Linked DNA regions of Mus musculus. The protein of the gene in region 2 interacts with the protein of the main gene of each other region in a pairwise test. Links are inferred from orthologs where the notes say so. Each region holds a gene or a part of one and is shown on either strand. Other genes may lie near its edges.

Region 1 (3,500 bases), on a different chromosome or scaffold from region 2:
ACCTTTACAGGAGGGTTTCATGCTGCCTAGAAACCTGTCTCTATTCTTGTGGGGGAGCCAAAGGACATCCAGCATGTGGCTTGGGTCCCCACCACCAGCGCACACAGGTCCCGCCTACCCTCTGAGTAGCATGGTTCAGCATTTCCTGCCAAGCAGAGTCAAACTGCCGCTTGTCATCCTCCAACAGCCGCTGCTCAGCCAGAGAGATTGTTTCCTTGGCTGCACGGAGTACCTCGGTGGCCCTCTGGAAGTCCTGTGTGGCCTTCTGCGCCTCCAGCTGAGCCTGTTGAGAGAGAAGGTCTAGTAAGGCCTGAGGCAAAGGCCAGGACTCCCTGAGGTCCATTGCTCCCACCCCCCGAGATGAGTGGCCCGAGATCTGACCTATCCATCTCTGCCTCCCTCTTGGACAGGCTGCATGGGACAGGTCCCTCATATGTGGGACGGGATAGCAGGTGGCCAGTGGCTGAGTGAATACCAGGTCGGTGGGCAGACAGTCTCCAGTCTGGAGCTCAACAGATAATCAGATGCATGGATCTTGCATCTGTGATGGCAATGGCTAATTAAGCCTTTCCCCAAAGTCCTGGCTTAGGACTGATGCCCAGATAGGCACAGCAGTCCTGGGCATCTTCCCTGCACGCCACAGCCCAAAGTGCTCCAGAGACCACAGTTGTAGGGCTCCGCTCTACAGATGAGGCACAGTAATTGAAAACAGCTTTTCCCGAGACTCCAAAGCTGATCAGAAGCAAGGCTCCAGGCAAATGCCCCACAGCACGAGTGCCAGCCTAGCACGTCCACTGCCAGACAGCCCCCTCAGTCCACATATACACCCAGGCCCAGGCCTACTGAGAGCACAAGCCCTGCTTTCAGGAAGGAAGAGGCAATACAAACAGCAGCCCAAACAGCAGCCGCCAACGCATGTGTCTGCATGTAGACATGTGCACATGGGGAAATCTGACGTTAATGCTGGAGACCACTCCTCAGGAGCCTTGTTTTCTGTGACAAGGTTTCTCACTGGCGGGAAGTCCCCTGTTAGGCTAGGCTGCTGCCAGAGAGCCCCAGGATCCAGCCACCTCTCCGGCTCTGGGATTCCTGCCTGGCTTCCTTCCGCAGGTTCTGGGGATGCTTGCACAGCCAGCACTGTACTGATTAAACAATCTCAGGCCAGCACGTAACCCCTGAGCATCTAAATGTGATTAACAAGAAAATGCAAACATCTCTCACAGCCCAGAGAGAGCTCAGAAGTTGCTGTGCTTGCTACACGAGCAGGAGGACCGGAGGCTCAGATCCCCAAAACTCACATAAATGCCAGGGAGGTGTGGCAGCTGCCACAGCTCAGGAAATAAGGACAGGAGGTTATTGAAGCAAGCTGGTTAGAAAGACTAGCTGACTCTTAGAGTCCTGGGCTTGACTGAGAGACCCTGCCTCAAAACCTGAAGTAGACGATTCCTGATACCCACTCACACACAAGCACGTACACACACATATTCATGAGTACCTACCTGCTCACACATGTGCCACACATGTGAATATGCACACATGCACAATACACACACACACCTCATTTTAAAGACTCAGTAGAAAAATGTTGATTATCCCATTAGCCATTTTTTTGATCAATGATGAGATACACTAAACTAAATCCAATAGACTGAAATTAATTTCCGCTGTTTGTTTCCTCATAGGTGACTCTCTACTACTTTAGGGCTGTTGATGTTCGTCCCTCAAGAGTGGGCTATGTCATGTGACTGCATGAGACACAGGGCTGGGGAGATGGCTTGGTAGGAAAAGCGCTTGCTGTGCAGGCGTGAAGACCTAAGTTCAGGGCCCCAGAATCCATGTAAAACCAGACCCAGTAGCACGCATCCGAAACCCAGTGCTCCAGGGTCAGAGGGGAAATGGCGGAGACAGCAGAATCCCCCCAGATGCTCACAGACCAGGTCAACTGGTGTGGTGAATGCAGAGGCAAACAAGACCCTATCTCAAACAAGGTATTCAGTGAGGACCCCTGGAGTGCATCCTCTGGTGTCCACACTCACACTGAAGCACACACTCCCCTGAAAGCAGTCACTGCTGGCCCCTCTCTCCTCCAGCTCACCTCCAAATTCCCACCTGGGTAGGGGCAGGACATGGCTCCTGCTAATCTGCCCCAGACCACTTCCAGAGTCAACAGGGTCCCTGGGCCAATTACAGAAGCCCTAATGGGACAGCCCCAGGACAGTCCCTGGGACTTAGGAGGGGAACAAGCGGACCCCACCCTTCCCCAGAGAAAGCCTCACATGACTTAGAGGAAATTTTCACATAGACTGAGGGCATTTTGCAAAGAAAATTAAGAGGAACAGCTGAGAATATAGCAGCCCTGGGGGAAGAAACAGCCCGGTAACCCATGGTAACCCACAACGGGCATCCGCTTGTCTGGTCTGTGCACACCCACAGCCCAGAGAGATCCATTCTGGGGACTGCGCCCCACATGTAGATGATGTGTAGAAATCTATGCTTCAAGATTGGGTCAGGGCAGGAGAATGGAACTTGCTTCACATAAGAGGAAACTGCGGGAGGTTTTCCTAAAGAGAGGCCTGAAGGGCAGGCAGGAGCTCCAACTCAGGGCTGATGGAGGTCAGGGGAGCACTTAAGACTCTGAAGGGTCTGTAGGAGATCTGATAATGCCCGGAAAGGAGCATTTTAAAAAGCCAGCCTGGGCTGTACATCAAGATCCTGTCTCAAAAAAATTAATAACAATAACAGTAATAGAAGCCTAAATGAATGCCCACCTACCAGCCATCTACATCCCCTGAGGTAGCCTGAAGCACATATAGGGGTGGGGATGCACACCCTCTCTAGAACCAACCAGCCACTGAGAAGTAACTGTACCACGCTGACAACTGCACTCTTTCCCCAAGCTGAGCCTCCTGCCCATCTTACTTCTCCAGACAGGCAAGAAGGGAGATCTGGGCAGGCTTAAGGAAGGTGAATTGTGACCCATCCCCCTATCTCAGTATACCCACAACCTTCCCACAGCTCTGACACAGGGACTCACCCCCTGAGACCCAACATTTTCTAAAATGGGATCTCTCTGCCCCTTCTTCCGTTATCCATCCATCTACCTATTTATCTATCTATTTATATCTATCGCTCTATCTGTCTGTCTATCTATCTATCTAATTTTTTTTTAAATCTTCTTTGAGGCTTTGAGGTTGGGCTCAAACTCAAGCAAATCCTCCTGCCTCACCCTTCTGAAGTCTGGGATTACAAAGATGAGTCGAACCACTTAATTTTCCTTTAAGGTTTCATTAGACAGCATTGGCTGGACTGGAACTTGGTTTATAGAGTAGGCTGGATTTGAACTTGCCATAATCCTCCTGTCTCTACTTCCCATCTACACCCGGCCTTGTGGGTTTTTTGCTGTTGTTGTTTGTAGCAAGTATGGTGGTATGTGTGCACAAATTTTTTCATTTGTATAGTATGGACACACGTGTGTAGAAGCCTGAGGTTGACAATAGGTG
Region 2 (4,192 bases):
TCTGTTTCCACATGGCACCAAGAACTATCCTTTAGAATCACATCCACCAGTGGCCGATGCTGACTCAAAGGTCATCATCAGCCAAGTCTGATGAGCTATGCAGGGGAGCCCTGTCTAGCTCCCCTAGCCTTGTCTCTCCTTACCTTTCCCTCTGCACACCTGACTCCAACTATACTGAGCATACCTTGGTGTACCTTTGTCTGGTGTGCCATTCTTCTTGATCTGGCCATGATCTGTACCTTTTAGACACCGAGACCTACACTAAGCAGAGTATTTATTTCTGACCAGTCTAAAATAGCCAGTTTCAAATTCATCTGTTTGTATTTTATTTTCCTTAAACTCTCTGGCTTTTGTGTGTGTGTGTTTTTGGTCTCCCTTCTATGAGGATGTAACACTTGTGTCATTTATTGTTCTCCCCAGGAATCTAGAGCACTGCTGATCATGTAGTAATTCCTCAATATGGTTGGGTTCTGCATGTGAGTAATAGCTGTATTGAATGGAGAAACTGTATTTAAAACTAAACATATTTCTCTTGATCCTCCAAGAATACATTGATAAAGTGAAGACTTTAGTGAGCCAGAGCTTATTTCATAGTTATTCCTTAAAAAAAAAAAAACCCACCATTATCCTCAAGGGCTTTAAAGGAGTGGGCATTACTATTGGTATTGGTCCTAGAATTTATAGTAACAATGGTATAAATAATTATAATACCTATTGAGTATTTACTATGCATGGATACTATCTTTGTTGCCATATGCTTCCATCTTAACCTTAGGCATCAATTCTAATATGTAAATGAGACATAGAGACAGAATGATTTGTTAGTTTTTCTTATATAGTAGCTTATGAAGGAAAAACTAAACGGTAATAGACAATAAAACTAAGGGAATTCACTTAAAAAGATCCATGTAGATGCTGATACAGCCCTGATAAAACATTAAACCTTCACCTTAAACTTTTTTGGTTCATTTTGCTCTGTTTTGGTTTTTTTCAAGACATGGTTTCTCTGTGTAGCCATAGCTGTCTTGTACTCCAGGCTGGCCTCAGACACATAGAGATCAGCCTGCCTCTGCCTCCTGAGTACTGGGATTAAAGGTGTGCACCATCACTGCCCAGACACTTTAAACTCCTTTAGGAAAGAACATTAATTTGGCACCCAGTGTTTCCTTCAGTCTTCTCCCTCCTCCGGGTTTGGGGAAAGCATTAAAGTAGCATGACCGAGGTCACACATGTGCTATGAAGCAGAGCCAAAGTTCAGAACTGGCCTTGGCTCTAGAAGGCACATCTGGACAAGCAGTGACTGTCCTAGTTTTTCCTTATTATCACCCCAGCAGGTGTATAGAGGATGTACACTTTGTATACACACCTGTGCTTTTCCTTTTTTACTCACAGAACTCTGAAAAGTAACTGATGTGGACAAGCAGCTGAGACAGTCAAGATGACGACCACGGTAGCCACAGACTATGACAACATTGAGATCCAGCAGCAGTACAGTGATGTGAACAACCGCTGGGATGTGGATGACTGGGACAATGAGAACAGCTCTGCAAGGCTCTTTGAGCGCTCCCGCATCAAGGCCCTGGCAGGTAAGTGTCCTGATGTTGTATGTCCCACCTGTCACCAGATGTTCTGTAGTCCCTTGAACATCAACCATTTCTCTTTTAAGCTGTCTTGCTTGAAGTTGACCTCTCCCTGCTTTAACATATCCTATGAGAGCTTGCTTACCCTTTTATAAGACATTTACTTTTGGAGAGCTGCCGAACTTAATGACCAACATAGTTTAGAACACAGTAAATAATGTTTACAGCAATTTAGAAAGAGCTGCTAAGAGTTTGTAAGGATTTTTTAATTCTAACACATCTTTAATTTCAAGTGTTTTAACATACTATATTTATATAAAATATCCAACTTGGCTGTATACGTAATGCCAGTGGCAGATTAGCTGATCTTTTCGGTGAGAGGTTGGTAAGTACCTTGTTACAAGGGCTTTAGATCTGAAAAGTAGCAGTGTCCTGTGGGAAGGCCATATTTAATGCTGTTAATGAGTAGGTTTGCCACTGATCATTCCCATTCAGTTTCATTTTCTAGAGAAAAACCATGCCAGGTAGATGTTAAGTAGTTATTCCAATTATATTCTAGTTTACGATACAAAGTCTATTATAATAGGTGCCTTGATTATTAAATTGTAAGTTTGTCAGTACTTTTGACATGATTCACATGAACTAGAAACCCACAAGAAAGTATTCAGGAAACAAGGGAGCTAAACATTTATTCTGTGTCTGCTGATTGGATTCTTTGAAAAGAATCCTGAATTCATGATTATTTTTAGTCAAGTCATTTCTGTTTGCCAAGAATAGAGATGCATGTACTCTGAATTAAAGAGATGTGTTTGCTAGTAGAAAACACAGTTGTTCAACATGGACAGAGCCCTCATTTCATCCTTGCCATACAAAAACAAGTAACAGCAGCAGCATGTGATAGAATTAAAGGAGAATAAAGGGATTATCGTAAAATATCAGACAGGGGCCAGGTGTGGTGGCCATGCTTTTAATCCTAGCACTCAGGAAACAGAGGCAGGCAGATGTTTGTGAGTTTGAGGCCAGCCTGGTTTACCTAGCAAGTTTTAGGCCAGCTAAGATTGATGTGGTAAGACACTGTCTCAAATAAGAGAAAGAGAGATGGATGGAGGGAGACAGGGAAAGTGGAGGTTGGTCTCATGCAAAGCAGGCTCAACAAAGCCATGTGCTAACTGCTATAGGACAGTATCTCAGTTATTCTTCATTTGTTGGAGCCCTCCACTTAGTAACTGCGCCTTCATAATTTGTCTTACACCAGACTTGGGTGCAATGTAGATTCAATGAAACCTCAGTGCAAAATTATATTTATAATTTAATTGACTTAATAACCCAGTTTCCTTTTAGTACAAATTTCTGTAAGATTGGGTGTGGTATTGAAATTCTGTTTGGCCCAGATATTTATATAGCAGGCCATGGCTAGCTGGAGACTTACAAATGATTGCCTTTAAAAGAGGCAGCTTAAGACTGGTGCAATATTGCCCACCAGCCCTCCCAACCCAAGTTTGATCCCTGGGACCCACATAGTGTCAAGAGAGAATTGAGTCACAACAGTTTTTCTTTGACCTCCACACCATGCCGTGTCATGTGTGCAAATCTTTCCTTCAAATTAAAAATAAATAAAGACAGACAGACAGGAAGGAAGGAAGCCAGCCAGCCAGGTAGTGATGTGCATTTCTTTAATCTCAGCACTCAGGTGACAGAGGCAGGTCTGAGTTTCAGACCAGCCAGGTCTACAGAGTGAGTTCTAGAATGGCCAGAGCTACACAGAAAAATCCTGACTGACAAAAAAAAAAAAAAAAGATCAATCAGAAAAAATATATTTGAAGAAAATGTAGCAGTGCTACCCAGCGGTCTGTCTGTCTAGAGGTGTGGTTGGTGTGTTCAGAGCAGATAATTTGTAGATTAGAGAAAGAAGGCTTTTATGTTAACTTTTTAAGGGAGATTAGCATATTCTGCATGAAGATAAACCATCTGTGAAAGGAAACAAGGTGCAAATTGGCCCCAGAACAAGAGAGACTTAGGTAAATAAACAAGTCTCTTTTTAGCCTCCTTCTGTGAGTGCCTTACCCCCTGTAGTGGTCTTCCAGATTGCAGGAAGCCTGACTGCTGTATGCTGAGCGTCATTGCTCATCCCTTCCCTTTTGCCTCTTGTCAAATTCTAGTTGGAAGCACTGGTGTGTTGGGATTGGAGGGAGGCTTTGGGCACTGAGCTGTGACTGGGCTATAGCTATGTTAGAACACAGAGCCCTTTGGAGATGTTCTCTGCAAAAGCTGGTGGCTCTCAGGGAGATGGCACTAAATGGCACTAGGCAGCAGAACAGTCAAGTAGATGCTTGTTTTCAACTCAGAGATAACATTTTACAAAATGGTAAGATTACAATAACCATTAACTGTTTTCCTTTAAGAGAAAAGAAGCAGAAGTGGATACCTCTCTTTAAAATCCTGGAAATTCTTGAAGAGAAATGAACCTTATACTGTTAGGCCTTTAAAATAAGCCTCTACTGAAGTGCCCAATACTAGAACTGCTCCAGGTCTGGTTTGGTTTGTTCTTTACAGTGCTGACATAAAAATCCGTGTGTTATTTAATAAGGCAACAAAAACACTTACCACATATC

The links. The genes of interacting proteins can lie anywhere in the genome.
Region 1: the proteins of Sptbn1 (region 2) and Sh3bp5 interact in a two-hybrid assay, tested with the Homo sapiens proteins (2 studies listed by BioGRID and IntAct). The link is inferred for Mus musculus from reciprocal best matches to the Homo sapiens genes SPTBN1 and SH3BP5.

The regions. Positions count from the first base shown.
Region 1 is NC_000080.6:31,387,601-31,391,100, forward strand, and holds part of Sh3bp5 (SH3 domain-binding protein 5), read right to left. Parts: intron 284-3,500; coding exon 119-283; intron 1-118. UniProt on the Homo sapiens protein: Functions as a guanine nucleotide exchange factor (GEF) with specificity for RAB11A and RAB25. Inhibits the auto- and transphosphorylation activity of BTK. Plays a negative regulatory role in BTK-related cytoplasmic signaling in B-cells.
Region 2 is NC_000077.6:30,216,973-30,221,164, reverse strand, and holds the start of Sptbn1 (spectrin beta chain, non-erythrocytic 1), read left to right. Parts: upstream 1-1,392; 5' UTR 1,393-1,438; coding exon 1,439-1,586; intron 1,587-4,192. UniProt on the Homo sapiens protein: Fodrin, which seems to be involved in secretion, interacts with calmodulin in a calcium-dependent manner and is thus candidate for the calcium-dependent movement of the cytoskeleton at the membrane.